3 linked regions of the Oreochromis niloticus genome follow. The protein of the gene in region 2 purifies or fractionates together with the protein of the main gene of each other region. This does not show direct contact. Links are inferred from orthologs where the notes say so. Each region holds a gene or a part of one and is shown on either strand. Other genes may lie near its edges.

What was found.
Region 1: the proteins of beta-galactoside-binding lectin (region 2) and met purify together in Homo sapiens (affinity purification with mass spectrometry; 3 studies listed by BioGRID and IntAct, with this or other methods). This does not show direct contact. The link is inferred for Oreochromis niloticus from reciprocal best matches to the Homo sapiens genes LGALS1 and MET.
Region 3: the proteins of beta-galactoside-binding lectin (region 2) and itga4 purify together in Homo sapiens (affinity purification with mass spectrometry; 3 studies listed by BioGRID and IntAct, with this or other methods). This does not show direct contact. The link is inferred for Oreochromis niloticus from reciprocal best matches to the Homo sapiens genes LGALS1 and ITGA4.

What each region holds. Positions count from the first base shown.
Region 1 is NC_031972.2:41,332,981-41,343,647, reverse strand, and holds the start of met (hepatocyte growth factor receptor), read left to right. Parts: upstream 1-6,279; 5' UTR 6,280-6,600; intron 6,601-8,121; 5' UTR 8,122-8,122; coding exon 8,123-9,328; intron 9,329-10,667. UniProt on the Homo sapiens protein: Receptor tyrosine kinase that transduces signals from the extracellular matrix into the cytoplasm by binding to hepatocyte growth factor/HGF ligand. Regulates many physiological processes including proliferation, scattering, morphogenesis and survival.
Region 2 is NC_031969.2:16,230,547-16,240,819, reverse strand, and holds beta-galactoside-binding lectin, read right to left. Parts: upstream 4,652-10,273; 5' UTR 4,525-4,651; coding exon 4,516-4,524; intron 1,863-4,515; coding exon 1,783-1,862; intron 1,294-1,782; coding exon 1,122-1,293; intron 873-1,121; coding exon 726-872; 3' UTR 414-725; downstream 1-413. UniProt on the Homo sapiens protein: Lectin that binds beta-galactoside and a wide array of complex carbohydrates. Plays a role in regulating apoptosis, cell proliferation and cell differentiation. Inhibits CD45 protein phosphatase activity and therefore the dephosphorylation of Lyn kinase.
Region 3 is NC_031987.2:23,930,900-23,941,456, forward strand, and holds the start of itga4 (integrin alpha-4), read left to right. Parts: upstream 1-5,472; 5' UTR 5,473-5,859; intron 5,860-7,269; 5' UTR 7,270-7,282; coding exon 7,283-7,455; intron 7,456-7,874; coding exon 7,875-7,993; intron 7,994-8,218; coding exon 8,219-8,319; intron 8,320-9,573; coding exon 9,574-9,706; intron 9,707-10,557. UniProt on the Homo sapiens protein: Integrins alpha-4/beta-1 (VLA-4) and alpha-4/beta-7 are receptors for fibronectin. They recognize one or more domains within the alternatively spliced CS-1 and CS-5 regions of fibronectin. They are also receptors for VCAM1.

The sequences.
Region 1 (10,667 bases), on a different chromosome or scaffold from region 2:
GCTCTAGGATTTAATAATTTCTTTAAAGTCTTCTTTCCTTGCACTTTTCTACCAAACATTTTTAGCTTTTCCCCCCTAGAATACATAATATTTCTTGCAGAATGTCACTGTTGGCCCAAAACCACCAGTGGATACTGTGACTGAATGTACATTTGTCTAGATTTCACTGCTGTCCTGAACTGTTAACAGACATCTGGAGCTGAAACAAATTTCAGAGGGTTTTTATAAATCAGGTCAAATCGTAAACACCATCCTCTGTGTTCTCTCCTCGTGTGTGTTCAGCAAACAACTCCTCGGGGAAGCTGCTACTGTCCTGGTTTGCCCCAACCTCATACATGAGCTCTCAGGCTGATTGCCTGTAGGGTGTCAAATTTGTCTGTCCAAAAGACAAAAATCTGTTTTTGTTTTTTTTTTTAAAGATGAGCTTTAATTTAATAAAATATCACTCAATTTGATCAACATCGTTTTTATATGTGTGGCAGTTGCTGCGGCATCTCTGATGGTTTCTGAGCCCCATATGTTAGAAAAACGAGACACTCATACTGTATTTTAATGGAACGCTCTATTTGATCCCCTTTATTGCCCTGTAGAGAACATATTCCCTCGAGCCTCCTAATTTTGCCATGGTCAGTGAGTTTACAGAAGTTCCTTTGTAGCCATTCTTGAATGAAAACAAGACTTCACACACACACAAAGGGAAAAAACACGTATAATTTTTTTCACAGGAGGAATTTGAGTTGTTTTTTGGCCTTATGCTCTGTCAGCTGTTGCTGCAGTGAATGCTGAAACTGATGAAGCATGCTATGACATCAAGCAAGAAAAAGCCTGGCAGAGAACCACCCACTCAACCACAAAAGCTTGTTACAGATGTTCCTCACTCCAGCACACCTGGTCTCTATAAGTCAGTGACTGCACTATTTGAAACGATACGTCACTTAGACATCTGAGCATAGCTCTTAAGAAAACATAACTTGATCCATTAAAGCTTACAAGTTGAATCCAGGGCATCTTCGTTTATGCCATGCATACCTTCTTCTTTGATATTTTTGTACTTCTCAGTAATTACCTGTCAATCAAACACTGAGAAAACATGGTATCCTTGGAACTGGTCTTGATATATCCTGAACAGTTATACTAACAACTACTGGTACAGGAGCTTATATAGCCAATGTTGTGAAGGGGAGGACAAAGCAAGAAGATAAAATAAGATTCAATTAAAAAAATGTGCAATCACACACAAGAAAAGCACAGAAGTGTTTACTGAATAAGGGATACTTTTGTTTGTTTGTTTTTCTCAAATATGATTTACAAGAAGATTGTCATTGTAAAGTCTGAGTTTTACATTTAATGGATCTGACTGTTAAGCTATAGTCCTCTAGTCTTTTTTAACTGGCTGTAATTCTGTGCTTAATTATATCTGTAGGGTAACTACTGAGTCACATGTACCAGTTGTAATGACACAAATACATATGTGACAACTTCAGCCTCTTTAAAACACAAATGCTTGCTAATGTGATATTCAAAGATTAAGCCATTAGAAAAAAGAAAAAATGTGGGAGAGGTCAGAGGTATTATTGGGATTGAGATGCAACTGGATATCATCTGCACTGAAATGAAAAGCAAGAGTTTTAGTGTGATTTCACCAAAAGCGAACATAAAGAAAATAATACCAGGCCTAACATTGAACCTTGGGGAACTCCGCAAATCGTTTATGCTAGCATTTATCTGTTTATTTTATCAGTAACCACATTTCTGTATGTTTTCTTCTTACAATAATTCTTACCATGCACTGTAGAGCTTTCACAAACTGAATATTGAGCACTTACACATGAAAAACATATGAAGTCATTTTAGGCAGTTTTAGGTAATCTACACTATGTATCAGGATTACATATATAGTGCAAGAAGAACGACAAATTGTGTGCTAGATAATATAAATATATTATCCCATTTGTAAAGCAGAAGGTTGTAATGCAAACAAAAACATTTTGATTTGAAACCCTATTGTTATCTTAAAAACTGTCAAAAGTGTGCACTATCCTCATCTAAGAATTTGTCTGAAGCAGACTTAAGTACTTTTTGTTCATTCAGGCACTAAAGCACAAAGATAAGCTGGATGTAGAATCACGTAAAGCAGTCTACCAAATGAATTACCACTAAAGTTTGCACATTTTTAGCTTTCAAATAAATTTTTGCAAACCCCCCCTACGGTGGCCCTGAAGTGCAAACCACAAAAACAAATCAAAACGAACAAAGCAAATGGACATGCAGCATGAAGTCCAGAAGCTCTGCTGCAGTTTCACGTGCTCTTAAGTATAGTTTATTTTAGTCAAAGCTTCCACACATAAACAACCAGGGTGGGAGAGTAAGAGCTCTTGAATCATTCTATAAACTGTTTAAGAAGAGTGTGACACAGCAGAAATGGAGATGAAAACAGAGAAATTTGCAAACAGACGAATTTTGCAATCTAATTCGACTGTATTGTAGAAACTACTTGCAAAAAAAGAATAAGGAGAGTGAGAATTTAAAAGTAGAGTCAAACTACTTAAGCAGAGAAAGAGAGGATTTTTTGTAATCATTTATAGACGTAGGAGATATCATACTGAAGGGATTTAAAATGTTGCACTTGTATATTTTAAGTCATTCTTGATTGTTTCCAGACTTAAATCTGAGCATGTCTTAAGGATGCAAACATTTTAAATCAACAAAGTTTTTTGTTTGTTTTGTACGCAGTAGAAAAATTGATGAACTACGTGGTTTAAATTTTGAAGACACTGGGCATGCTTATTTCCTTTTCCTTCATTATTTTCTTACCTGCACTGATGGCTTTTAGTGTGTGTGGATATGAGCTATGTTCTGACTCCATCCATGGTGAGACAGATTGGCAGATACAGATATAGAACACGGCTTATTGACTGGCAGTCCTGCCCATCTGTTGCGAGAACCATTTCCTATGATGTGTGAGATTTTAATCTTTTGATTTCCTTTTTCATTAACAACCCTTATATCTGAGAGACGGGTAGTGGAAGATGAGGGCCCAGATCTGTCTCTCTCTATATTTGAAAATCTGGAGTCTGGACCTCCAGCACTGGGGTTTGATAGCTGGTGAGGAAGCACTGTAACCAAAGGCTGACTAAAGGTTCATTTTAGACAGGAAACAATATGACTAACAATGAGCAAGACCAGTGTTTGTAGAAGAAAGCAAAGCGTTAAAAGCGATACTGTGCAATATCTTCTCTTTCTAATAGTAACTGGATTTGATTAACAAAAAAACACACTTTAAAGTATCAGGGTGATAATTAACCGCCTTAAAATAATTTGTTTTCCTGGCATCTTTTAAAGCAGTCTGCTTATTTATTTTCTGCAGACTGAAAATAAATCCGTGTGCCATATTGCTTAGGCTCATGGTGCAATGATATTATTGTAATATGCTATGTATGTAACATATGTAAGATTTATGTGTGTTAGACTGATATTCTAACACACATGAAGGAAGAGCCTTTATAGCACTGTGCAGGGTTTTCCAAGCTGATCATAATTAGCCATACAATGCACTAATGTAAGTACATACAGACAAATAGGGTGACAAGATGTGAGATTTTTAAGAACAGAAGCAAGACAAATTCCACTCTAGTGTTTTTTCAGGCATCAACATGCTGAACTAAGAATTATGCCCTGAGTTCATTCAACCTGTAATGAACTGCTCTGTTGCTTTCTTTTATGAATGATCCCTCTGATCAACTGAGTGATCAAAGCGGCACACACTTAATCACAGCTCTTCTCCATGAGGTAAAGAACTCAGAGAGGTAAACATTCCATCTGGAGAATGAAACAGGGACCTTTGATGGGTCAACAGCATCAATCAGAGTTTACTGTCCTGATCAGTGCTGAACCAGGGTTTTTATTGACTGTGCAGGTGATAAATAACCTCCACTGAACTATATTTAGGTGCAGAAGAATGATCCACCTCCCTGGTAGTCTCTCGCTTTTGTCTATGAGATTATTCCCTTTAGTTTCCATTCAGTAGCTTGTAAATTATTCTGGCAGTGCGGTCAATTCATGCTTTAAGAAAAGACGCCTGTTTGCTTCAAGTACCAGCAGATGGCGTCATAATAAGTCAGATATACTGACTGAAATGGATTGAAATAGATGAAATAGATTTTAAATGGTTTAGTGCAATCAAAATTGGCAAACAAAAAAATATGTTCTTTTTTTTTACTCGACTTTAGCAGTTTCCAGCCCTGCAGAATTTTTTCCCCCATATGGTCATAGGTTTGTTGACGTCCAAACATTGCAGCCCTTGTTGAAGAAGGCTCAGATTTGCTGGTCTAACACCAAAATTGTTTTTTCAAGGTTTTCCATCAGAGTTTGTAACCATGGCTGTGGACTTGGCTCTAATTCTTCCACACTTACAGAGGTGTACCACTGACATTTCGCAATAAGTACAGCTTTGTGCACTGGAGACCTGTCAAGACATGAAGACAGAAACACTTTTTTCTCCACACTCCTTTAAACCAGCAAAAGGGTCAGTTTTTCTCTTCACTTTCATGTTTTGATCTCAGCCATAGTGCAGCCTGGAACACATGAACAGAAAATAGAACTTAGTTGTTGTGTTGCAGGTGCTGTGGGTGCAGATGCAGATCATTCCTGCAGTGCACGTCATACACTGAGGTTTCCAAACTCTGTGTGTGACCGTGGTTCACCACCAGACCGAGCTTTTCCATCATCGTCTTCTACTGCTACCCAGCACGACAAGAACATGAGCCAAAACAGAGTTCACCACCACAGGAGCCACACAGACACACCCCAGGGGTATACACTCACACAAATGCACACGCCCTGTGTCGGACACACCCCTTGCCAAGCACATCAGAAATGCCCCAAGGTATGGCAAAACACAGTTGCTCCATCAAACATTGGCTACAGCAAGCCAAGGAGTGTATGAGAAACAGTCTTGCATGTGAGACTAAAACCTTTCTATCTTCTCATGCACAACAGAAGGTACTAAAACAGCTGAGCTGAACTGAAACTTGATCCTAATTACACATAAATCTTGCTAAGATTTCTAGCTTCATTATGTTAGTGCGTGAAATAGCTCACCACAAAATAAAACCAGAAACTGTCAACCTAAAGCTTTGATTTTGTACGCAAAGCATCAAACGTTGCGCTGTCCATTTTTTATGCTCTACTTGTATAATTGGTGTTCTCAGTTTTAACTTTGAACTCTTTTTAGAACTGTGTCATGTATATGTTATTTAGGATTTTGTTGCTTTATGAGTTTTTCCTCCTTTGACAAGAAATAGTCAATGAATGATGCACATTGACAGGTTAATTGCTCTCTAGTGTGTTGTCAGAGATAACCATGTTGTCCTCTGGGAAATCAAGGAGGAAGGTTTACTGTTGAAAACTGAGAAAATTAGGAGGATGGAGGAAACTATTACTCTGTCACGTTACTTTTCATAACTGACATCCTTGAAAGAGCTGTAAATCCAGTTTAACACTGAAAATGTCACAAATTCCACCACTGTAATACATTCTTCCCCATCTATTAGCTCACTGTGCAGTGAGTGCAAAAAGCCACCACCTGTGCAGATCCACAGCAGATTCCAAACTATTAATTCTGCATACACACTCTCTGTTTTCAGGCTTTCCAGTCTCCAGTCCGAATGCCCTCCTTTCAGGAAGTGGGACAAAGGAATTTTTTGAGCTGCCCACTGTGATTCATTGCTGACACACACACACACACACACAGTAGGTTTAGCCTTTATTTTAACTTAGCTCATTATTCATGGCTTAGTTTTAACACGACGACCGGCGCTCTGACTCAGAGGGGTTCTGGAGGAGAGTCAGGTGGAAGTTGAAAAAGAAAGAACTCTTCTTCTAGAAAGAGTTTTGTTCACGTTGTCTTTGTTTTACTATCAGGCAATGTAGTATCAGAGAATCTAAGTGTGCAGTTTTAAATTGGTTTAATATCGTTTTTTTTAGTCCCAAGAAGCAAAAAGGAAACATGGATTTTACAAAATATATATGTTGGCTGTAAAGAATGTGCTATTCCTTTAGTGCACAAGAGCTGGCATTAAACAAATGTAGGTTGTATGAAGACACAAGACAATAATAATGCACAATTATAACTATTTTATTAGTGCTTGATATTCTTAGCTCGAACACGTCGTTAATTCTTAGTTTAACAGCTCTTTCTTACATGTCTGCATTGCCTTATAGTGATAGACCGATTAGTTTCTGCAGCACCTGAAGAGCCGCACGCAGCTCCAGTGGAGGAAAGGAGGCGGGGCATTGCGCACCACGGGAGGAACTGAGATGTGAGCGGGTCTCTCTGCTGGATGCAGCCAGAGTTGAGTCCCACGCGTTTCAGCAACAGCAGGTCCACGGGCTTGACTAAAACCGAAGGGTTTAAAACTAGATTGGAAGAAAAAAAAAAAAACTTTGCAGGGGGTTTATTTGTTTCACCAAGAAGCGAAAAGAAGAATCCCGGGTCACTCTGGATTTATTGAGAAAGTCTCAGTCTTGAGTGATTGTCCAGCGGAATATGATTTGAATCAACAAGACGTACCGCACTGTTGCTCAATAACAGAAAAGCAGGTAAGTTTGTTTCCAGCTCCGCTAGTTTCGGGCTTTTTTTTTTTTTTTTTTTTTGTATGTTCTGTATATTCATGTATATACTGTATATTCATGCGTAAAAACGCAGCGTGGACCCTGACCCTCTCCTCCCCCTGCTCTGTATATCGCAGCCTGTTTGGAAATGTTTTTTCTGGCTCCTCACACCATTTCACCAACTTCCCATTTGTGTTTTCTGAGCCTCTAGCCATGACTCACTTTCCTTTCAAACTGAAAACATTTTCACTGTTTTCCACCTCGCCTTTTGTCTTTTGAAAAAAAAAAGAGAGAGAGAAAGAAACAGTCATGCTTAGAGGTTGTGATCTTTTTGTGTTTGGTGCAGGTGCACACTAATGTGCCCCCAATTACTCATAACAGATAAAAAGCAAGTCTTTGCTTCTCTTGACCCTGTCCTGGGATGAGAATGTTTTATAATAGAATCCTACATTGTTTAATGCTTATTTTCTTTGGCACACTATCGTCATCCTGCTGTGTTATTCCGTTTTTAACATGTATGAGTACCGCTTTATGTTTTCTGCCTTCAAGCACCTGTTAGTGCTGTCTGTGTGAAAATCTTCTCCGTGAAACATATGTTGCATCTGAAAGCTGAGTTTTCTCCCCCAGACTTGCTCTACAATAGCAAATGAGCTCGTACTATTCAGACATCGATATAAATCAGGCAGATAGCGCACACTGGGGGGTTCTGAATGAACTTATGCATAGCTATGGGCATGAATATAAAACCAAAACTAACTGTGCAGCATGTTATTGGCTTGTTTTGGTTTACAGCCTGGCTCTGTGTGTATGAAGACACATCCAGACAGAGAGCATGAAAATGCGCATTTTGCCAATTCTCTCTGGTGTGGCTGTTGCCCCCCCCCCAAAAAAACCCCTCCCAGTGGATTACCATTTAGTTGGTGGGGTTATTTATCATTTTGCTGGAAGGTGCCCCTTGCCTTCTCCCTCCCACCTCTTTTGTTTTAATTGAGTTTATCTTTGCTCCCTTGGGTACTTGCTGTCTAAACTTAGGCCAGTGCCTGCTTCAGCGTGTAGAATGGCCTCCTCTCGGGGTGATTCACTACTTTGCTTTGTGCTGTGGTCACATGGGAGCAGAGCAGAGCACCACAGAAGTGCTCGCCCAAGTCTTGTTGCTTGTTCATCCAGTGGTCAGTGAAGGCAGATGTTCAAGTGTCCATGATAAGAAGACTGATATCAAAGTTCTGTGTCACCAAAAAGCCTCCAGTGACTTGAATATGACTATATTAATTGCTTGTGGTGATGTGAGTAAACCCTGACTTTACTGCCTGACAGAGTTCTATTTGTGAGTCTAAATAAGGGATTTGAATCTTCCAAATCAGCACAAACTGGAGCTTTTCCCCAGAAGTTCACACTCTACACAATTAAGGCCACCTACTCAGAGAGGCATGTGATGAATGCTTTAGTGCTTGTTGTTATAGCAGCGATGTTTTAATAATTCATTTCCCGTGTCTCTTATTTCTGGAACAGGATGAATCTCTGTTTGCTTCATGCCATCATGTTGCTGTGGGCCATTCGCTCCAGCGTGCAGGGCCAGTGCGATAGATCATCAGAGGATACCAAACTCAACCTCTCTGTCACCTATGAGCTCCCATCGTTTACCGCAGAATTCCCAATCCAGAACATGGTGATACTGGATGGAGTCATCTATGTTGGTGCTGTAAACAGAATATATGCCCTGGCCCCAAACTTGAGAAAGCTGTCAGAGTACCACACAGGTCCGCTGCGTGCCAACGAGACCTGTGGCCAGAAGCTGAACGGAACAAGCAGCAGTGGAAGAGTAGACAACCACAACATTGCCTTAGTGGCGGAGAACATTTACGACAAGGGGTTGTACAGCTGTGGCTCAGCAGATAACGGTGTTTGCCGCCGTCACGTCCTGGATGATGGCGTGAGCGCAAAAAGTGTAGATGAAGAAGTCTACTGCTTTGCCGACAAGAAGAAACTGGAAACCGGGCAACCCGATGACTCAGATGTTGTAGTCAGCCCTTTGGGCTCCCAAGTGCTGAATGTGGAGAGCAATGTCATCCAATTTTTTGTTGGGAACTCAGAAATTCCCGGCAGAAGAAACATCTCAAGCAGTGCAAAACATCCCCACACCCTTTCTCTGCGGAAAATGAAGACAAGCCAGAATGGTTTTACTTTCTTCTCAAACAGATCATACATGGACCTGATTCCATCTCTACGTGGAAATTACTACCTGCGCTACGTTTACTCCTTCCAGAGTGGACCCTTCACCTACTTCCTGACCGTGCAGCAGGTGAGCAAGGACTCTCAGGCCTACCACTCCCGCATAGTCCGCATGTGCTCCGCAGACTCTGTGATTCGTCGCTACGTGGAAATGCCCCTTGAATGCATCAGCACCGATAAGCGGCGGCGACGGCGGCGCTCTGGGACAGGTGTGAAAGTGTTTAATATCTTGCAGGCAGCCTATGTCACTAAAGCGGGAATTGACCCGGAAATCCAGAAGCACCTGAAGGTGGAAGAGGACGATGATGTGCTGTTTGCTGCCTTTGCCAAAGGAAAGCCAAACTCTAAAGACCCAACACCTAATTCAGCGGTTTGTGTGATTGCCCTGAAACAAATCAACAGCATGTTCAAAACCTACATGGAGAAGTGCAACACCATAGAGCCATACCACTTCACTGGTTTAGACAAGAAGTCCTGCTACAATGTGGTAAGAGTTGGGAGTGGGAGGGGCTTAGAGTTCAGTAAAAGTCATTGTAGACCAGGGGTGGGGGAACGCCAGGCCTCAAAGCCGGTGTCCTGCAGGTTTTAGATGCATCCTTGATCCAACACAGCCGATTTAAATGGCTAAATGACCTCCTCAACATGTCATGAAGTTCTCAAGTGGCCTGGTAATGAACTAATCATTTGATTCAGGTGTGTTGACCCAGGGTGATATCTAAAACCTGCAGGACACAGGCCCTTGAGGCCTGGAGTTCCCCACCCCTGTTGTAGACTTTGAGGGGAAAAAAGAACAATCCCATTAAATAGAAAAAATGTATTTGGAAATAATGTTTGTCTTGCTTTTTATAGCGTTTCTCCATTTAAATTAAAAAACAAAACAATGTCCATGTATTGTTTCAAATATTTGGTCTTTCTAAGATATAATAGTTCTTGCAGTTATGTTCCAGTACAAGTCTGCAATGACTATTGCTGCATTCACATGTATTTTTCTGGCACTTTTTATGACTAGAGTGAGTTTTCCTGAAGGAAGTTTTAGAAGTGTTCCAGTGAAGTTTTACAAAGATGTCTGATTTTAATCTTTTAGAATTATAGACTTTACCTGTTAGACTAAATCCCATTTAGTTTGTTGGACGAAGAGACTGTAAGTTACTGGGTGGCCTCAGGTTCACACAGGCGTTGTATCTACTTGTGCTCGTCTAAGTGCCCTTGAGTAAGACACTGAAACATAACTTTGACCTCTGGCACCTGTTTTTAGGGGTGTACAGTGCAGTCTGTTGGTCAGGGGCAGCTCTCGCATTGTTCTGGCTCAGTAATCCAGCACACTGAACATGAAATTATAGAATGACAGCGAGCTAAAATTCCTGACCTTCAGCTTTAATTTGAAGTTGTTAACGTGCATATTAGATGAACAGTGTACAGCTTGTTGTCATCTCAAAAGACTCATTCCACATTTGGAGCAAGTTGGGAGGATGATCCATAATAAACAAAGACAGCCATGTAGATTTTTTTTTTTTAATGCCAAAATCACCAAACGTTCTTGACTTGCCCAATCTGTCCAACTCATCATATGCTTAACGTGTGCTAACGAAACATCATTTTCTAAAATAAGCAAAAATAAGAAAGAAACAGAAAATGTTGAACAGCAAAAGATCAGTGTGGATCTTTCCATGAGAGAGTTTATAGTTTCAGTCATTATATTGAAAAAGACCGAAGTATTAAATACAATTACATTTTCATTGCATGTTGATTGGATCAACATTTAAAAACATCTGCCTGATGCTGTGGGCCCTGGGCCCTTTGCTCTGTTCTTCAAGTCAATACTGAGA
Region 2 (10,273 bases):
AATGTTCTCCTTATTTTCAGTTTCACATAAAAATATAAATCTGTGGATGTTTTGTGTTTATGCCTTATGTAAAACCACGCATGGTGTTGCGTCAATGTTTTTCTTCAAAAATAGGTGTTGTAAAATCAAACTAGACCCAGACCCTACTGTGACACATGAAATATTGGCTATATGTAAGGGTTAAATTACAGAGCCCGGCACTGGCTGTGTATCACCTATAAAGTAATTTCACAGGGAAAGGATGAAAGGTGTTGCAGAACAAATATAAGAAGTCACCAGAGTCATTTTTTTTTTCATAAAAGAAAATTCTTTAATTGATGTTTTTGCAGGTAAGAATTAAAAAGTGGAATGTCTTGTGGAGCATTTCGAGACACATTAAAGAAACCTGACCACACTGTACTGTATATGAATCCTGCAAGCAAAAAACTGCAAACAGAAAAATAACTTTCTTTAACTGCTTTAAAACTACTCATGGTAGAGTTCCAGAAAAGGGTGTTCAGGTTTAGAGCTAAAGATTATAATTTGTAAGGCTCCTTTTTTATGACTATAGCTGTTTGGACCGCTCTCTCAACAAACTCATATCCTGTAAACTATGACAATCTGTGATAAAGGTTAAAGGTTAACAAGGAAGCTGAAGACCTAGGACTTTATATTACCTGCTGCTAGACAAACAAAAAAAGAACATTTTTCACATCCAGGTATGAGAAATGAGAAACGATGGCGCTTTACTTGATGTCAATGGTTTGAATGCGAGCATCCCCATCAAAGTTTAGGGCCGAGTATTTCTCTGCACCGACGCGGTTGGGGAAACGGAATGTTGAGCCATCTTGTAAAGTCACCACAAACTCTGAAGGAGTGAATTCAATGGAGATCTAAAAGGTATTATCAGTGAGAGAGACAGACAGACAAAGGAATCAAATATTGTAATAGATGTGATGTATAACGATCAAGGTCTCACAGATGAGTGTGCAGTATCAAATAATGAAGTTATCAAAGATGCAGTGGCACTTATTTTCCACCAGAGGTCACTCTCAGAGAGAGGCACTATACAGACTAAAGAGGAAGCTAATAGACTACATATGACCCATGCAAGGCTAAACTATACACACACATTCTCACACCTTGAACTCCTGTCCCAGGGAGAAAGGAAAACTTTGCTCGCGTTGCTCCTGACACCAACTGCCTCCCTCGAAAGAGTTGCAGACAATTATATTTGAGTCTCCATGGGCACTGAAACGAGGGTTGAGATGAAATGCAATTGTGTCCTCGCCGGGGCCGATATTCACAGCAAAACTGCAATGTACAGACATGTGACAAACCTCATTTACTTTAAATAAGTAGCTCAGTCTAATCCTAATGGGGAATTTGAAACAGAAATAAGCATAGTAAGTAAAATATAAGGGGAAGAAGAACAACAATCAAGCATGTTTCACGGCTTAAAACCGCATTTACCTTAGATTACTGACTCACTTAATGTCTCATAGTCAATTTCAAATAGAAGTAACTAAGTCAAGTTCAGGAAGATAAATGACATGTTCCATAGCTTTATATCTGATGGTTCAGCTACTTTAAAGAGACAGCTAACACAGACAAAATCTAATTTACTCATTTTTTTAGCCAATAACATTAGCTATCAGTTTTTGCACTAAATGATAAATACAGCGATAACGACACCCTGTCAAGAATTTATTTTGTTGAATATTGATTGAAGATTTTTCTAACTTTACTGTGATTCATTCATTTACAAAATCATGACACAGCTCGTCCTTAATCAATACTTACTCTCCAGCCTCAGGTTTGGTGACTCCAACAACAGTCATGGTTTGTCCAACCTTGAAGGACATGTTCTTTACAAACACACCCTGTTCAAAAAAGAAGGCAAGTTTGGTGATACAGTGTATTATTGTCTAGTAATACTACTGACTTTTATTAGATCCAATTATTATTACAGCTTCAGGCAAAAAACAGCACTGGCTATAGTCTCGGCCAATTCTCCAGTCCTCACTTTATCCCTAGAAATTGCAGAACATGTGTTTTCAGTTATATCCCCATTGACTGGCTGGTCAAATATTCCAGCTCTTTCTTGTCCTGAGGTTGCCAGGGACATTTTTCTGTATGCCGATTTTGGCAGAGACTGAATGTTGAAAAATGATGAGGGACAACTGTTAAACTGAGTCAAATTTTCCTCAGTGCAATACTAGATACCGGGAGTGGAAAAACACTAAGCTTAGCAGAAATTCAGTTCCTGCTGTACATGTGGCAGGAAAATACTGGTTTGTGTAACAATTAGGAAATTGTAATTGTTCTAATGGGGAATTTGAAACAGAAAAAGGGAAGGGGAAGAAGAGCAACAATCAAGCACGTTTCACGGCTTAAAACCGCATTTACCTTAGATTACTGACTCAATTAAATTCTCATAGTCAATTTCAAATAGAAGTAACTTTAGCTTTATTTCTGAAGGTTCAGCTACTTTGAAGAGACAGCTTACACAGATATAATTTACCACTAAAGTCAAATTGTACAAGTGCACAAGTCCTTAAAAGAGTAATCTAAAGATGTAGGTTATCAGATAAGTCTGTTAGACTCTCCACCTAAATTCCTAATGCAACTTTTATAGATTTTATTTTTTTTATTCATTTGTATTTCTTCACTGCCTGCCTCCATTTCAAGGGACAAGATCAGAAACCCAGACTACTTGTGTGGGTTTTAAACGCTGCAGTTGTTAGAGAAACATCCTAGATACAGTCAACAAGAAACCAAACACTTACTAAAAATAACCATGAATACTTGATCATATTAGATCATGCTAACAATTTTAGATTCGCTTGTGAAGAGACCAAACTTTCCCACTGAACATGACTATGAAGACTTAGTATCTATATTTTGTTGATTAAATAATTTAGATTTCTAGGTTGACAAACTGTCAGGTTGCAATACCTTAGAGCAGTGGTGTCCAACTCCAGGCCTCAAGGGCCGGTGTCCTGCAGATTTTAGATGTGTCCTTGATCCAACACAGCTGATTTAAATTGTTAAATTACTTCCTCAACATGTCTTGAAGTTCTCCAGAGGCCTGGTAATGAACTAATCATTTTATTCCAGTGTATTGACCCAGAGTGATATCTAAAACATGCAGGACACCGGCCATTGAGGCCTGGAGTTGGACATCCCTGCCTTAGAGCAACATTGTTCACCTCAACCTCTTCTTGACAGTGATTCTCAATCCTACAGTTTTCCAAGGACCTCTGCATATTCTGTAACATATGTTCACTGTCAAATTCCAATTAAACCAAATTCTGTTCATCTTAACTTATATGTCACAACCATATCAGAGTTTATTGGTACACAGATAACAGTACTTTCATTTATATCCCTTTTGTAGACACACAAACATGTAATGATCTGCACTTTTCTATAAACAGGCTGAAATCGTGGCACGCCACAGCTCACTGCAAAACATATAATTTATTTAAAGATCAACCAGTGAAAGTAAGGGAGGCATAGTAATGTGAACATTCTTCCTCTGTTAGAAAGTGTGTTTGGCAGCGCAGCTTGCTGTGCTGGACTGGGCTTGTGTCCGAGCTGGCGGTGACGCTGCAGACATTCTGCCTAATGAAGGAATCTGAATAATGTAATGTGTAAGACATGACACTTCACTGAATCTGTCACTGTTGTGATGATGAAATCGAGCTGGCAAGTTATTAAAACAGTAACACGTTACTAGTAATAAAGTCATTATTAAAATAAACTTCACTGAACTGAATGAATAATTGTCATTTCTGTGTGAAATCAACACAAAGTGAAGCTTAACAGTGCCAGAGACATTATTTGAGAGATAATTACACTTCTGCTTAAGGCTTGCACTGTTGTTGACCCCTGTTTGGCTTAGATTTGCAGGATTGTTGGCTCTGTTCTTGTTTCTAGGTTATTACTTTATTTCATTTTATCCCTTAATGTCATTAAAACCATAACACCCCTTTAGCCCAAAAAAGGAAAAACAGACACAAGGTCTTGACTGTATTCTGACTATTTTATCAATTCAGAGATGCTAGAATGCAATGCAGCCTTTGTTCAGCTCTGACACTGGGAAAAAGAGAAGGCGTGACTGAAATGAAAGACTCAAGTGCTATCATGTGTTTATATTACTAAGGCTAACTTTCATGTATAGGCATGACATTGATCTTTTACTATAGATGAGAAAAAGGAAATAACAATTGAGAAGTAAATAATGTAAGCATATGCTCTGTGGTGAATATTTTGACCATAAAAGGTCATCAAAAAATTTGAAACATTAGAACTCCTAACAGGTCAATAAAAACTAAATGCAAACATCCTTTTTAGTTAGTACAGTTTAGCTGATGCAATTACATCAGCCTGGTAAAGATAAAGCTAGGACCAGCTGTCAGTTCAATGCTTAAAATAGGCTTAAGGCCTAAGACTGTCGATATCAGTAAACCAAAGAGTCATATCAAAATCAAAGTAATATAAGTTAACTATTGTTGTCAAATCTTTACTTACATTCATCATCTTGGCAGATGCAGAAGGTTAAGTACAGCTGAGAAGAAATGAAAGTGCTGCAGGGCCTTGCCTCTCTGCACCCCACCAGATGACTCCAGTATATAGAGAGTGGGAGGTGCCTTCAACCTGAGTGACATTTCAAACAGCCAATATAATTGTGCCATTGCTAAACGCCCAAGAGCTGACTCACAGTGAAATTAAAAGCTGTAAATAACTAATTTAGCAGTTAACAAATACTTGCAGATGTTGGTGAAGTGAGGCTAATTAGTGAAAGATCATTTGTTAACACCAAAATGTTACATTTTAACCTGGTGGAGCTGAGCCTGACTGTGAGGGGAACTGCAGACTTGGAGTTAAAAATAGAAGTGTATTTGTTACCAGGGAGACAACTAAATATTTAGCAGAGCCAGCGGTCTTAATGTCCACTTACTGTATATAGCTCAGGGCATACAGTAAGATCAAATGCCGGCATTTGGAATAAATCTGTGGCAAATTCTAGGTAGAGTTGAAATTAAGTGAAATGTTGGAAGTGAGTCAGATCCTCAAAATGATTTGAATGTATGACTCACACTTAGAGCCAGAGTATACTGCCAGCTGCTGAAATACAGAGGACAGCTGCTGTGAGTGCAGCAGGGTGGGTCAGTTCCACACATATCCACTACAATGTATTACAAACTAATGTAATTTAGAGCAATGTCACAGGAACCATTTATCAAGAACTACTTTATTTTACAGTTATCTACTGTTTTTCCCTCTGTAACTACTAATACTAGTCATATTTGCAGTGTAGGGCTGCTCCTTTGCTGATAGAGAAAGAAGTCTTTGATTAAATTGGGCTAATATCTCATCATTTAACAATAAAAACCAAGAGTGGAGTTTCAGAAGGAGTTCTATTGTTATAATATAGGTTCAATTCCAGGCTGAAAAGGTCACTTAAACCTTGAGACCAGTTCCCCTACACTTCACACATTGTAATGGTACACAATAAAAATTACTCCCTGTCCTTTATGACTTCATTCTGGGTCATGTTATTGATTAAACACTTTTTGGCACCCCCACCTCAAAATAATGTTCCGAGTAAAAGTAAAAAGTAAAAAGTACAAAAAGAACGCTTTAAACTAATTTACATAGTCCACACGGTGCAAATGGATAATGATTCAAAGCATATTGCAAAAGCAACCCAACAGTTTATAAAGACAAAGAAAGGAGATATTCTTTAACTGCCAACTCAGTCATCTGATCTCAGCCCTTTAGCGCATACTTTTCAGTTATTAAATAAAAACTGAAGGCAGAAAGATGCGCAAACAAAAAATAAAGACAGCAGCTGCATCAAAGGGTTTCCATCGGTTCTAGCCTTCAGACTGCAAAGGGTTTTTATTCAAGTAATACAAACTATCATCAAAATAACAAAAATGAGAGCTTGATCAGTTAATTCCTAAACAGTTAATGCAATGTGCAGTAAATTAAAACCTGACTGAATGCTAAAATTTCTATAGGAAATAATCTTATCTACTTCTTGAACCATGTGCTCCTGTGACCATGTGTCAGAAAAACACGGTGCTATCTTCAAATGATGCATGATAGGTTCTCACACAGCTTACTGGATGGTCATGGTCTGTGCAGTAGGGGAATTATTTACACTTGTGGTCAAAAGTTTACATACACTCCACTAGGGCAATAATGTTATGATAATTAGGGGCTTTTAATTGTTTCTTTAACTGTTGATTGATTGAATGGTTGCACAAAGGTCACAAGTTGCACCTTGACCAGATGCTTTTGGTAGCCATCAACAAGCTTCTAGCATAATTCTGGATGGATATTTGAGCACTCTTGTTGGCAAAATTGGCAGAGTTCATTTAAACTAACTGGTTTCCTGGCATTAACTCGGCTTTTAAGAGTAGTCTGCAAATTTTCAACAGGGTTGCAACTCGACCTTTGGGAAGACCATTCCAGAAGCTTAATGTTAGCCTGCTTTATCTATTCCAAAACCAGTTTCGATGTGTTTTTGGATCATGTTTTCTATTGCATTGGCTTATACTTGTAAGATTAAAAATTGTTTCCAAAATAGAGTATGTTTGGTCTAAAAAAATACATGTACCATTGGGGGAATGATGGATTTTGTAGAAAGCACCAGTCCATTTACATTCATTGAAAGTATACTGCTAAAAGTTTGCTCTGCAGTTTACCGCAGTTTGACTTAGAGTTACGATACCATTGACTCTGTTCTGATTTCTACATTATTAGTTTATTTGATTTCATCTTTTAATGCAATTTTAGATATTGCACACCTTTTCAAACAAATTTACCCTTGTATCCAAAAAAAGCTCAAATGATACAAGGTCTCTATTGTATTCTGCCTAGTTTAGCAGTCCAAACAGGCCAGAATGCAATCCAGCCATTGTTCAGCTGCAATATTGTGAAGCAAGAAGGTATGACAGAAATTACATAGTGAAATGTTGCATGTATTTATTTCCTTTTCTAACAGAGAACTTTCACATCTATGCATGTTAACGAGAAGACCAGACAGAAAGGCATTTTACCAAACACTTCTATACCACAAGTCTTTCTGGAATGACAGTTATTGCCATTTATTGGATGTCAGATAGAATACAGACTTAAGGCACTTCTGTATTGGCTTTAGCACTGTCAGTGGTTTTTATGTGGGATGGCAGACTCCAGAGCCTTAGGGCAAAACCAGCAAAGACATGGTTACCTTTTGTTCTCTGGCAAGAAAGGGTCACTGACACTGACAGAAACTGGAAGGATGAACTCAGTGACCTCAAGGTAGAATATGGAGTTAAAAGATCTGCAGTATATTATGGAGCCAATAAATGGAGTATTTGAAAACTAATAATACTAAACTTAGAAAATTATTTCACATATAACCAGTGCAACTGAGCAAAAACAGGATAATGTGCTGTCTTTTCTGTGCACCATTAAAAAATCAGTTTTGAACAATCTGTAATCAAGGAAGGGTGAAACTGGACAGTCTTATTTACAGCAAGTTATGGTAATCCAGGTGAAAGGTGACACAGACAGATGGTTCAACATCCTATATATGGAGAAAAAACTCTCAGTTGATTTGATTATTAAAAGACATGAAACTATCCACTGAAACATTAACTAGAGTCTGAATTTATGTGGATAGAATGCCTTAATTAGAATATTTATAGAGCTGGCTGTGCCAAATAAAATAACATCAGTTTTGGTATTGTTTAGTTGAAGGAAGTTCAGCTCATTGAAACAGTCAAAAAGGGTCATCATGAGAACAGTCACTGTCAAGTGTGGCAGGTAGATAAAACTGTGTATCATTCACATAACAGAGATAGACAAATGGTAACATGCGTTTATTTATTTCAGAAATATCAAGGCAATGCATGATGTATGTAACACGTATGATTAAAAACAGAAGAGGAACAAAAATGGATCCTTGTGGGATGCAACAGCTACTGGAAGCCGACTAGCTTCGTCTTTCGATCATGACGTTCCTATATTTGAGGAGGGAAACCAGTGTAAAACGTGACAAGAGTAACTAAAGTAACTAGAGTCCGAATTTATGTGGATAGAATGCCTTAATTAGAATATTCATAGAGCTGGCTGTGCCAAAAAAAATAACTTCAGTTTTGGTATTGTTTAGTTGAAGGAAATAATGTTCTGAGAGCAATAGAAAAATCACAACATCTTTAAGTAAAAAGTACAAAAATAACGCTTTAAACTAATTTACGTAGTCCACACGGTGCAAATGAATAATGATTCAAAGCATATTGCAAAAGCAACCCAACAGTTTATAAAGACAAAGAAAGGAGATATTCTTTAACTGCCAACTCAGTCATCTGATCTCAGCCCTTTAGCGCATACTTTTCAGTTATTAAATAAAAACTGAAGGCAGAAAGATGCGCAAACAAAAAATAAAGACAGCAGCTGCATCAAAGGGTTTCCATCGGTTCTAGCCTTCAGACTGCAAAGGGTTTTTATTCAAGTAATAAAAACTATTACTATATTAACAAAAATGAGAGCTTGATCAGTTAATTCCTAAACAGTTAATGCAATGTGCAGTAAATTAAAACCTGACTGAATGCTAAAATTTCTATAGAAAATAATCTTATCTACTTCTTGAACCATGTGCTCCTGTGACCATGTGTCAGAAAAACACGGTGCTATCTTCAAATGATGCATGATAGGTTCTCACACAGTTTACTGGATGGTCATGGTCTGTGCAGTAGGGGAATTATTTACACTTGTGATCAAAAGTTTACATACACTCCACTAGGGCAATAATGTTATGATAATTAGGGGCTTTTAATTGTTTCTTTAACTGTTGATTGATTGAATGGTTGCGCAAAGGTCACAAGTTGCACCTTGACCAGATGCTTTTGGTAGCCATCAACAAGCTTCTAGCATAATTCTGGATGGATATTTGAGCACTCTTGTTGGCAAAATTGGCAGAGTTCATTTAAACTAACTGGTTTCCTAGCATTAACTCGGCTTTTAAGAGTAGTCTGCAAATTTTCAACAGGGTTGCAACTCGACCTTTGGGAAGACCATTCCAGAAGCTTAATGTTAGCCTGCTTTATCTATTCCAAAACCAGTTTCGATGTGTTTTTGGATCATGTTTTCTATTGCATTGGCTTATACTTGTAAGATTAAAAATTGTTTCCAAAATAGAGTATGTTTGGTCTAAAAAAATACATGTACCATTGGGGGAATGATGGATTTTGTAGAAAGCACCAGTCCATTTACATTCATTGAAAGTATACTGCTAAAAGTTTGCTCTGCAGTTTACCGCAGTTTGACTTAGAATTACAATACCATTGACTCTGTTCTGATTTCTACATTATTAGTTTATTTGATTTCATCTTTTAATGCAATTTTAGATATTGCACACCTTTTCAAAAAAATTTACCCTTGTATCCAAAAATGCTCAAATGATACAAGGTCTCTATTGTATTCTGCCTAGTTTAGCAGTCCAAACAGGCCAGAATGCAATCCAGCCATTGTTCAGCTGCAATATTGTGAAGCAAGAAGGTATGACAGAAATTACATAGTGAAATGTTGCATGTATTTATTTCCTTTTCTAACAGAGAACTTTCACATCTATGCATGTTAACGAGAAGACCAGACAGAAAGGCAAGAAAGGGTCACTGACACTGACAGAAACTGGAAGGATGAACTCAGTGACCTCAAGGTAGAATATGGAGTTAAAAGATCTGCAGTATATTATGGAGCCAATAAATGGAGTATTTGAAAACTAATAATACTAAACTTAGAAAATTATTTCACATATAACCAGTGCAACTGAGCAAAAACAGGATAATGTGCTGTCTTTTCTGTGCACCATTAAAAAAATCAGTTTTGAACAATCTGTAATCAAGGAAGGGTGAAACTGGACAGTCTTATTTACAGCAAGTTATGGTAATCCAGGTGAAAGGTGACACAGACAGATGTTTCAACATCCTATATATGGAGAAAAAAACTCTCAGTTGATTTGATTATTAAAAGACATGAAACTATCCACTGAAACATTAACTAGAGTCTGAATTTATGTGGATAGAATGCCTTAATTAGAATATTTATAGAGCTGGCTGTGCCAAATAAAATAACATCAGTTTTGGTATTGTTTAGTTGAAGGAAGTTCAGCTCACTGAAACAGTCAAAAAGGGTCATCATGAGAACAGTCACTGTCAAGTGTGGCAGGTAGATAAAACTGTGTATCATTCACATAACAGAGATAGACAAATGGTAACATGTGTTTATCTAT
Region 3 (10,557 bases), on a different chromosome or scaffold from region 2:
AGAGCCAGAGAGCTCATTGCACTGCAACTTAACCAAACACAAAGTGAATCAGGAAAACCTCTTCATCAGTTTGTGAACACATGTGGTTCAAATAAACACAACCAAAAACAAGTTGCACAAATGGAAACATTTTCAGGCAACACAAAAAACGTTAAGTTAAATACACTGCTCACCAGCGGCTGTGTTATAGTCACAAAGCACTGAACTCCAGCCAGGTACATCACTTTGTTGTGACCCCTGGAAGGACATTGTGTTGTCCTCTGGGCTGAATGAAGTGCCTTCCTGTTGTGTTGTGAGTTTCCGTATTTGGATGTGTTGCGTGTGTTTGCAGTGCATTTTTGTCAAATTGATAACACATTATTGCTTCATTCACATCTTATTCTGCTGTTCGTCCTTATCGTCTGAGAAGTATCAGAACAATTCACCTCCTCTTCAATGGGACAGATACTGTTGGGATAACAACTTTAAACTTCGCACAGAAACCTGTTACTTGTGTCTATTGCATCAGTCATGTGAGAGCCAGCAGTATATAAATGTCAATCAAACTAGGTACAGCACAGTGGCAGATCTAAAAAAAAAGAGATCCACCCCTGGTACAGCAGGTATGTTGAGCCCTGAATTTCTCATATTTGCACAGTACAACTCACAAACACTGGTTGTTCAGACCCCCACCCCCAAACTGCAGTTTGTTCTTCTTCAATTTATCAAACATTATTGTAAAATTGTTCTACAATTTGTTGATGATTTTTGCAGATTGACAAAACTCTACCTTCGTTTACTTCTGAGAAACTCTGCCTCTCTAATTGTACATTGTCTCAGTTTAAACACTTGATATGTACTATTGTGAATAAAATGTGAGAGCGGATTCTTTTTTTTATTTTTTTGCACAACACCCTAACTTTTCCGGAAGTTGGTGTTGTGCAGAAAACAGTGATTGCGAGATTTCAGCTGAAGCTGACAAAAGTCACAAGAGTGACACCTGCACTGCTGATGTAATAAAAAACCAAAACAAACCTTAAGCAACTTTTATATAAACTAAAACTCAAAAATTGATTCTTTGCCCTCATAAACATTAAGTAACAACTTTGAACAAATTTGAACAGAGATATATAAAATCAAAAGTGTGTTTATTTAAATCAATGTAATGATTACGTTAATAGATTCATTAATCACTGCTTGGTAAATACCATTTACAGATTACAGAGTCCATTAAATGTAACATTTTATATTCCATGTAACAAAATTGTATGGACAGTTTACGTGTTATCAAATTACTTTTGATAGTAATCACTTTGGGCATAAATATGTCTTAAATGTAACCAGTGTCATTAATTTCATGACTTCCCGAGCTCAAAAGATACTTGAAGAACATGAATCGGTTCAAAATAAAGCAACTAGTTAACTCTGCACAGCCTCTTCATTTATCAGACAGTCTGGCTTACAATAAAGATTTCTGTCTTTTCTGAGATATTTGAAATCTCTGCTATCTATGTGAGATCCTCCCAGCTTTATCTACCAGAAATATTGTGTAACATGGACCCTATGTGACCCCAACCATGTACGGATTACTAAACAGCCCTACAGAGGACTCTACTGTCTATTTATAAGTTTTTGTTTAAAATGAAAACAACACGGGTGAAAGTGCCTAATGAGTCTTAATCTACAACAGCCAGAAGGCAAAACATTCCTAAAATAATTTTTTCCCTCTCATGGATACTCTGCAGGAAAAAAAAGAGCGATAGTTCAGTTTGTCCTTAAGGAACGTGATACTTTATGCTAATCAGTGCCTTTGTCTTCAGGTTGGACTTAAAGGTACATATTGTAAATTTTTGTTTAGCTACTTTCTCAAACTGAGAAAAATTAACGTAAGCTATCAACAGAAGTTAAAGAGACAACCACTACAACAAAAACACTGTCAAAAAAACACTGAGCTGACGAGATATTTACTCAAGTTAAAATGCAGCAGGGCCGCACTTTTCTGTAGCATCAATTTGTAGCACAAGATGGTAACGATTCCATGGTAACGATGACATTAAGAACATGTTTTTATTTACAAAGGCCGCCTAGAAAATATGAAGGCTTCTGGAGGAAATGGGGCTGAGACTACAAAACAAATAAAAAAATAAAAAAGAATAAGTGCACACATTTGAAAACACACCTACGGGTAAAAAGTATTTCCCCTGGTAAGTTTCAAGGAAGTGTGAACATGATACATCCTTGGAGTTATGTGGTTAAAGTTATTGACTGTCTCTGCTTTCACTTAGCTCCACAATTTACTCTGTGTGCTGGATGTTAACCTATTCAGTGTTAATTCCCAGAGTGGTTTTGTCTCCACTCAAGCAGCTTCAGCATTTGATTGTGATTCTGCAATTCTGCTCCAATAAAGCCACAAGCTTCTCTAGTGAAGAAGATAAACCCCAAACCACATGCTTTCAGTGACTGATAAAAATCTTGTGCTGTTAGCAGGCAACATCCTCTCTGGTGCTAGACGTATGCGCTGCCAGAAAATTGGTTGCTACATGACTCAGAGGGTGAAGATTGGTGAGGAGTGCACAAAGTTCCTTTTGTTTCAGCCGTTATGGTTACACCATCTGGGCACTCATAGTGTAGCCATACTCTTGTCAGTATGAATCCATCCTTCCATCCATCCATCCATCCATCCATCCATCCATCCAGTTTTTGTGATGTTCAGTTGAGACAGTTCACCAGTCTGTCAAAGCACTAACAAAACCTACTTTAAATGCACCTTTGCACATAAAATAGCATGCACCAGTATATAAGCATTTGAGATCAAACTAGTGTTAAATGTATATAACACTTTGTGTGACAGTAACAGTGATTCAGCCACCGACTCCGCCACCGGTAGAGGTTAGCTGACCTTATTATTCTGAGTTATTCTGTCTTAAGCTTGCATGACTTTCTTTCTTTCTTACTTCTTAAACGTATGGACTCTCAGAGTGTGCAGAAGGGTGGGAACAGTGGCCCGTCAGATTGCTACATAATAACTGCAGGGTCATTAACAGGAAATACCAACAAACACACTGAGTGAATGTGTATGTGAATGTGTATGTGTGCGTGAAGCCGAGTTCCTGTCTGACATCCACCATAACTGTTTTTCATGCTGTAGCTATTTTTATCTGAATGGCCAAAATCAGGCCGATTTTATGCGAGTTTTTCCCAGTTCTCCTTTCTGCTGAACAGGAGAAGTTTGTTACTTAAAGAAATTTAAAGGATGAGTTTTAATGTACTCCCTTAAAACGTTTGTGCTGCCTTTTGCTCATGTTTATGACTTTCTGCAAACATATCCTCTCATCTTTTCTTTGGTTTATTTAATCATGACTGGCTGAAAGTCTGGATTGAATCACAGACTGGCTGGAGATCTTCAGTGACTTTGCTGGGAAATCTGCCCCCCCACCACTACCCGATCTCCAGCTAAACATGGCTAACACCAGCTGTTCATCACTACAGACTACTTCACACTACTTATGCAGTCATTGTTTACTGAGTCCAGTAACAGTGAATTAAACAGTTGGAGTCACACAAAGTACTTCTGATGTAGTTATTTATTTTTAGCGAGTAGCCGGATGGATCAGATGAAAGGCTGCTTTTTAGGCGAGCTTTTTTGTCCCCTTGGTGACCAACAGGCAACACTACAAAGCTGAAAGTCTACAGATGTGCTAAAAATCTGGAAAGGGGAATTACAGAAGTGCTACACACTATTATCCGCATGTTAATGCTCTCCCGGTGCGAGAATATTGATCTTTACTGAAGAAGGAACTGTGCTAATGATTTCACAAGGTTCTTGTTGAGAGAGCTTTTCTATCATCCACTTATCATTTTAATATACACATGCTATAAACAGCAGGCTATAACTGGCAGCTATTTAAAGGAATCCCTCGATATGTATCCTAATCTGACCACCAGAATCTGTACTGTTGTAAGTTACCTGATTAAAGATGGACTTCGTGCATTCTTTTGAACACATTTTGTGCTTTTGCTGGCTCCAAACACCATTTTGATGAAGCATAACAGATTTCCAACAGCTAATCCAAATAAGAGTTGTTACAGAGTTCCCTGAGGGTGAATCCTGGTTATCCTACATTGGATCCATATTTTAGTTGTAACCAAGATCCTGCAAAACTAACACTGCCATCAACCTCAGCTATTTACCTGTTTCTTTGTTTTTTGGCGTTTAAAAAAGACTGGACACTGCCTGAAGTGCTGCTTCTCTGAACACAGCGTTAACGATACTTTAGATGGTCAGCTGACCAGAATTAGAGACCACATGATGACTGAGACATTCCACTGTGCTCACACTGCAGACATAAACTACTTTAAATAGAAGCAAAAAGTACATTAGGAAAATGTAACATCCTCTTTTCATAAATGTAATGAAGATGTCACATTTTTAATGCAGATCCCTTTAGTGATGGTTATGTCTGTTATGTACATACATTTGTAAGCTTCTGGGAAAGTGAAACATATTCAGATAAGCTTGTTAGCAATGATGTCCACTAGATGTTTTCTTGCTGTACTCACTGAGTGATCAGCAGATCAGGTCTTTTTTTTTTCTGCAAAAAACTTTGGTGACAAATGTCACAACAACAAGGAGTTTTGCATTCACTGCAATCCCTGTGTTGCTTCATTATAATTCTCAAGATTAAGTTAGAGGCCTGGAGGAAACTAATACGAAGTTATAATTCAGCAGCAGAGAAAGAAATACTCAGACCTATAAAGTAAAAGTAGTATTGTAGAAATTGTTTCAGAATTGTATATTACGGCATTATATGAAAAATGAAAAATGTTATTTTTTAATGCTTTAGTTATATTTTCTGGCAGGAAAACAACCTGTACTGCAAAAATGATCCAAATCCCAAATAGTGATTATATTTTTTACATTGTTATTGTGAGTCTTACGAGCATCTCATTGCATTCAGTCGGGTTTTAATAGCACTTGAAACAATGCATATTGTGGATATTTTATTTTTTATACTTAATTAAACCATTTCTAGTATCTATTCTGTTCATTTATATTTTCATAATTTTGGATAAAAAAAACCTTTCGAATTCAAACTCGTTATCTTTTAAAAAAAAAATAATTTGCAGGCCGAATAGTGCTTTATTCTTAAAGCTTCACGTGTTTCACAAATGAAAACAATAGAAACATCCGTTGTGAGGATGGATTTTTTAGAATAAAGGACTGTTTTAAACTTTAGGGCCACGACTGCTGTGTTTTTTGTCTTCATACTGTAAGAGAAGGACTTCTCACATTTGCTGTTTCTGAATATTTCCTGCGCGCATTGCGCGGTTCAGACACAGAGGTTCAGACAGTCACATTAGATCATGGCAGCGCTAACTCCATTCACACTTTAGTGACAACTGAAGAGGAAACGACTCTAACACACACGCACACCGCGCGCGCTCAGGCGGGGCTTGGGGGAAACACCGTTACACACGCACGCGCGCAAATAGAGAGGGGAGGGTCTCCGCGCGCTCATCTCTCAGTTTCATTGACTCCATGTGAAACTCTGCTCAACTCATGTTTTCACTGTGTTTTTTCTGTTTTTAACATTCAGACTCTATCGTCTTAGTTCTTCTTTCGTGTTGCACGTGTTTGCCCGAATAAGAACCTACAAGTCTCGTGCGAAGCCGGTGCACGCACGAGACTCTTTAGGAGACTTGAGGAGCAACAGGAGGATTTACGCACGAGCGAGACCCGCGGGGAATAATAAGGTGGATTTAACGGAGACTTCTTTGACGCGCTGCGGTTCTCCTGAGTCTGTCACCGGCAGTCCCTGGACCTGTCTGACCCGGGATAACAGCTGTCTGACCCGGGGTAGGCTTTCTGCTGTCTGAGCGGTACAGTAACCGAAATGTGGACCGTTTATACAGTGAATGACTGATAGAGCTGATGAAGAATCAAACACTGCTGTGGTTAAGGAGTCAGGCTGAAAAAAGCACTTCTGTGTTAACTGTTCAATGAGTCTGTAAATAAACTGGTAATAATGGCAGCAGTAAAGTCATAACTCTTCATATGACCCAAAAGTTTGGGGGTCTGGAAACTTGACAACAGTGTGTTTGAATGTCTGGATCATTACTTACAGTTTTTAACTAGCTGTTATTAAGCTCATGTTTATTTAGAAAAGTGTAACCGCTCACTTTGTACTTGACTCTGTAAGAGCAACCACAGCCCACCATGATTCAAACAGGCTAAAATAAGGAAATTAAGATGAATAAACAAATCCAGAGAAACAAAAGTACAATGAAAAATAGATTTGGCAGTTCTCCAATTTTGGAAAATCGACTTGATTGACTTTTTCTTGTTCACTGTTAGACAAGAAGAAAGATTGGCAGCACTCTCACTCACTCTCTCTCCTGCTGTATAGATTAGGAAACAGCCAGATGACAGTTAGCTGAGCTTTGCATATGTGCTGGAAGCAGAGGAAACTGATAGCCTGAGCAGACAGCAGAAACTCTTTGATTTTTATACTGATGGAACAGTAGATGTAACTTTTCTTTAACCTGAACAAATTAAGTGATTTCCTCTGCTTTCAGTCTGTGGTTGGATACAAGCAGCCACTGCCTGTGGTTTCATGTAAAACCAGACACCAGCGTACTTCACAGGGGTGTGTCTCCTAAGTAACTCTGAGGCTGTCTGACAGTTGATATATATCAGTATGGGTGTTTTTGGTTTAATCACCCGGTTATCTCATGTCTAGACTCAGTGAAACATTCAAACATCAAAAACTCATCTTTTAATTAGATTGCATTATTTTATTTACATATGCCAAAACTCAGGCTGACATATTTAGCGTGCTAGTAGTCTCTGATCTCACTGTGGTGTTAAATAAAGTGATGCATGCTCGAATTAAACATACTTTGTTCCATCACAGGTATCGATTGACATTAATTGCTCATAAATTAAGTAAATTAAAGCTGATTTTATTTATTTTTTTAGAATACATTTTCTGTTATTTGTTGGGAAATTACAACAACAAACAAGTCATTTCCCCTTTTTTCAATAAAGTCCAGTTTAATGAATTACTGATGTCCCACAGTGGAAACGCTGGTAATAACCTCACACTTGTGGAATGCCACATTTTGGGCAATCGTCACATAAATCCCACTCAGACACAACTAAACTGTGAAAAGAAAAATCTGGGAAAAATCTAAAGGAAACTTTAAAGATTTGCTTCAATGACCAACTGTGTAGCAATAAAATGTAAATTCCTGTACTCATTCAGCATAACCTCTGTTTTCTTGTTGCAGTTTGCCCTCCATCATGAAGGTCTCCGCGGCCAGTGTGTCTGCACTGGTCATGGTCTTAGTTCAGGCCCTGGTTCCTCCTGCTGCAGGATACAGTCTGGATCAGGACCACAGTCTGGAGTTTAAAGGCCCGCCTTCCTCCATGTTCGGATACTCAGTCCTGCTGTATCGCCACAACACAGAGAGCTGGTCTGGATCCCTACTAGTATTCACGTTATTGGTTTACTAACAACTCCCCAGCCCCCTCCAACCCTAACCCTGACTTTTGATCTGTTTATCTACTACTGATTGTTTACTGATGTGCTGTTGATCATCGTAAACTACATTTCAAAGAATGCTACATGCTAGTAATAACCTCACTCATGCACTTTAAATTGTAAAACAACTCACAGCTGTTCTTACAGTCTTATTCTAATTGATTTAATTACCATAGTAATGCTCCGTAAGCTGCCATCTTCACACAGTATCACTTTGTGTGTGTGTGCCCACACCAGTTAGCCAGTTCTTGCCAATGAGAGCAGCTCTTTGATGCTTCACACACAGATGCCATTTAGATACTTGAGACAAAGACAAAACCAGTGCTAAATGCCTCTCTTTCCCTCTTTTAGGTTAGTTGTTGGAGCGCCAGTCGCAAACACATCCTTCGATGGTTCAGTGTCTCCAGGAGCTGTTCTCCGCTGCAGCATCGCTGCTGTTGGACCCCGGGAATGCCACCACATGACTGCTGGTGTGTGTTTTTGTCAGCCTTTGTGTTTAGTCTTTTCCCCCTGCATTACTCCAGCTGTTGATGGAGATGAAACTCAGATGAGAGATGCAAGTTCAGCCAAAACATCCATTAGTGTGCTAGTGTTATAAACACATATATTTAATAAGTCTGGATGTACTGTAGATGCTATATAAGGTGAGTGAAGGTGATATGCTGACAGTCAACCACGTATCCATGTGTATGCAGATGTGACTCGGTGTGGAAAGACGTGTGAAGCCGAGCGTGATCACCAGTGGATGGGCGTCAGTTTATCCAGACAACCTGAAAAGGAAGGAGGACACATCCTGGTAACGCACACACACTCTCTCTGTGCTCCCCCCCCCATGTTATTAATGCTTTGTGAGCGACACTAAACACAGTTTTCTTAGTTTTATCATCTTCATTGGTTCAGCAGTTTCCTCAACATGGCCGTTGTGGCAGTTCTGTCAGACAAATCGCAAGTTTTAACGAAATGCAGTTCACCATTCTGGGTGAAGAGTGGTTTTTCCCTCCGTTTTACAGTGTGGCTGTTCAGAAAAGCTGTAAACTTTTGGTATTTCCAGTGAGGTAGGCCAGCATGTCATAAAAGACAGACACCATCTGAAAGACTGTAAATGCCAGCAGATAAGAGTTTGCAGTGCTTAACATTTCAGGGCTAGCGATGGTTGGTGGTGTGCTTTGAAGGCATGGTCCACATCATATAATATATAACCTAAAAAAGTTTTTTTTTTTAACAATTTTTATGGAAATCCCTTTTAGTGCTGGTTATGTAAAATCCGTCTCTCTGTATAAGCATTTCAGAGGAGCTATTGTGCTGTTAGGTTTGTTTGTTGCTGGGAAAGTGGTAGGTAATCAGACTAGATTAGTAACATTAGCAATGATGTCCACAATTCAGTGCTCACTGAGCCATCAGCAGATCTCACACACTTAGGGATGTGTCTCTTTTTTATTATAGTGACAAATGAATATCTCTTGCACTCCCTGTTTTACTCCATTATGACTCACAACATGAAGCAAAAAGAGGGAGTTAGAGAACTCAAAGAAACTAATCCACGGTGCAGGGTCACTGTAGAGAAACAGTAAACGCACATTAGCACAGTGTCACAAACAAACTCAGTGGTTATGGACTCTTATTTTTTTTTAAACAAAAATGCATTTTACTTCCAGCTTTAGGACAAAGAGTCAGCAGTCATTAAACAGCAGGTCAGTCACTTAGAAAGCCTGAAACATTTGCACAACAGACAGCAACATTTGAAAAGCCTGAAGGCATTTCTGTTACACACAGTGGAGGCAGTGATGTGATTGAGAAAGTATTTACAACACCGAGTGTCTCCTGTGATCGTCTGTGTTGCACAGGGGGGGAAATAAGCAAAGAAACATACAATGATAATGTTCAACACACACACACACACACACACACACACACACACACACACACACACACAGAGTTTCTGTTACAGTGACTTAGGTCATGGGAACAACAACACTCTGCTGCCAACGTGTGACTTAGTAATGAGTGCATGTCACATGTTGTTTGTGCGTGTGTGTGTGTGTGTTTTCAGGCCTGTGGTCACCGCTGGAAGAACGTCTTCTACTCAAAGAAAGATGGTCAGAACAACAAGCTTCCCAATGGGGTGTGTTATCGTTTTGGCAGCGACATGAAAACTTACAACGCTATGATCCCCTGTTACAGAGGTACACACACACATGCTGCTCTAATGGTTACACTTATTCCTCTCTTCCTACTAGAGAGAACAACTTTTTGACCTAGCAACCTTTTGTAGAACAGGGTAAAGAACTACAGAACTCCATGATGTCAATAAAGCTCACAAACATACAGTTGTCATAGTAAAACGAAACTCACCTGCTGACAGTTCTGTGGTTTTACATATCAGGACATAATACAAATAAAGTGGCAGGTCTTAAAATGACACAGTGATATTATTCATTTAACAGCTATTAGGTCAAAACACAGACACAGTCCTGATTTTATAGGAATTAAGAAGGTAATTAAGAGCCAGATGCATTAAACGTTGGCAGTTTGCTGGTCTGGAGCAGCAGCACAATGCTCAGGAGAAAAGACATCAGCAATGATTTTAGAGAAGCTGCCCATCAGTCGGGGAAGGGTTCATTTATTATTACACTGAGAGAGTTTATTCACAAGTGGAAAACATTCATGACAGCTGTCAGACTTCCCAGGAGTGGACGCTCCAGCAAATGCACTCCAAGGTCAGACCGTGCAATGCTCAAAGAAATTACAAAAAACCCCAAGAGCTACATGCCAGACTATACAGGCCTCAGTTAGTATGTTAAAAGTTCATAACAGTGCAATTAAAAAAAGACTGAAGAAGGATGGCTTATTTGGAGGGAGAGAAAACGGGACAGTCTTTTAACTGTAAGTTTCCTTACCAGATTTTAACATCTGGTAACATCTGGTAAGGACTATTTTTTATTTTGCTTTTTATCTTTAAATAATGTCCTGATATGTAAAACCATGACTGTGACTGTAGCGATATGAATGTGTGTGCATGTGAAACCAGCAGCTG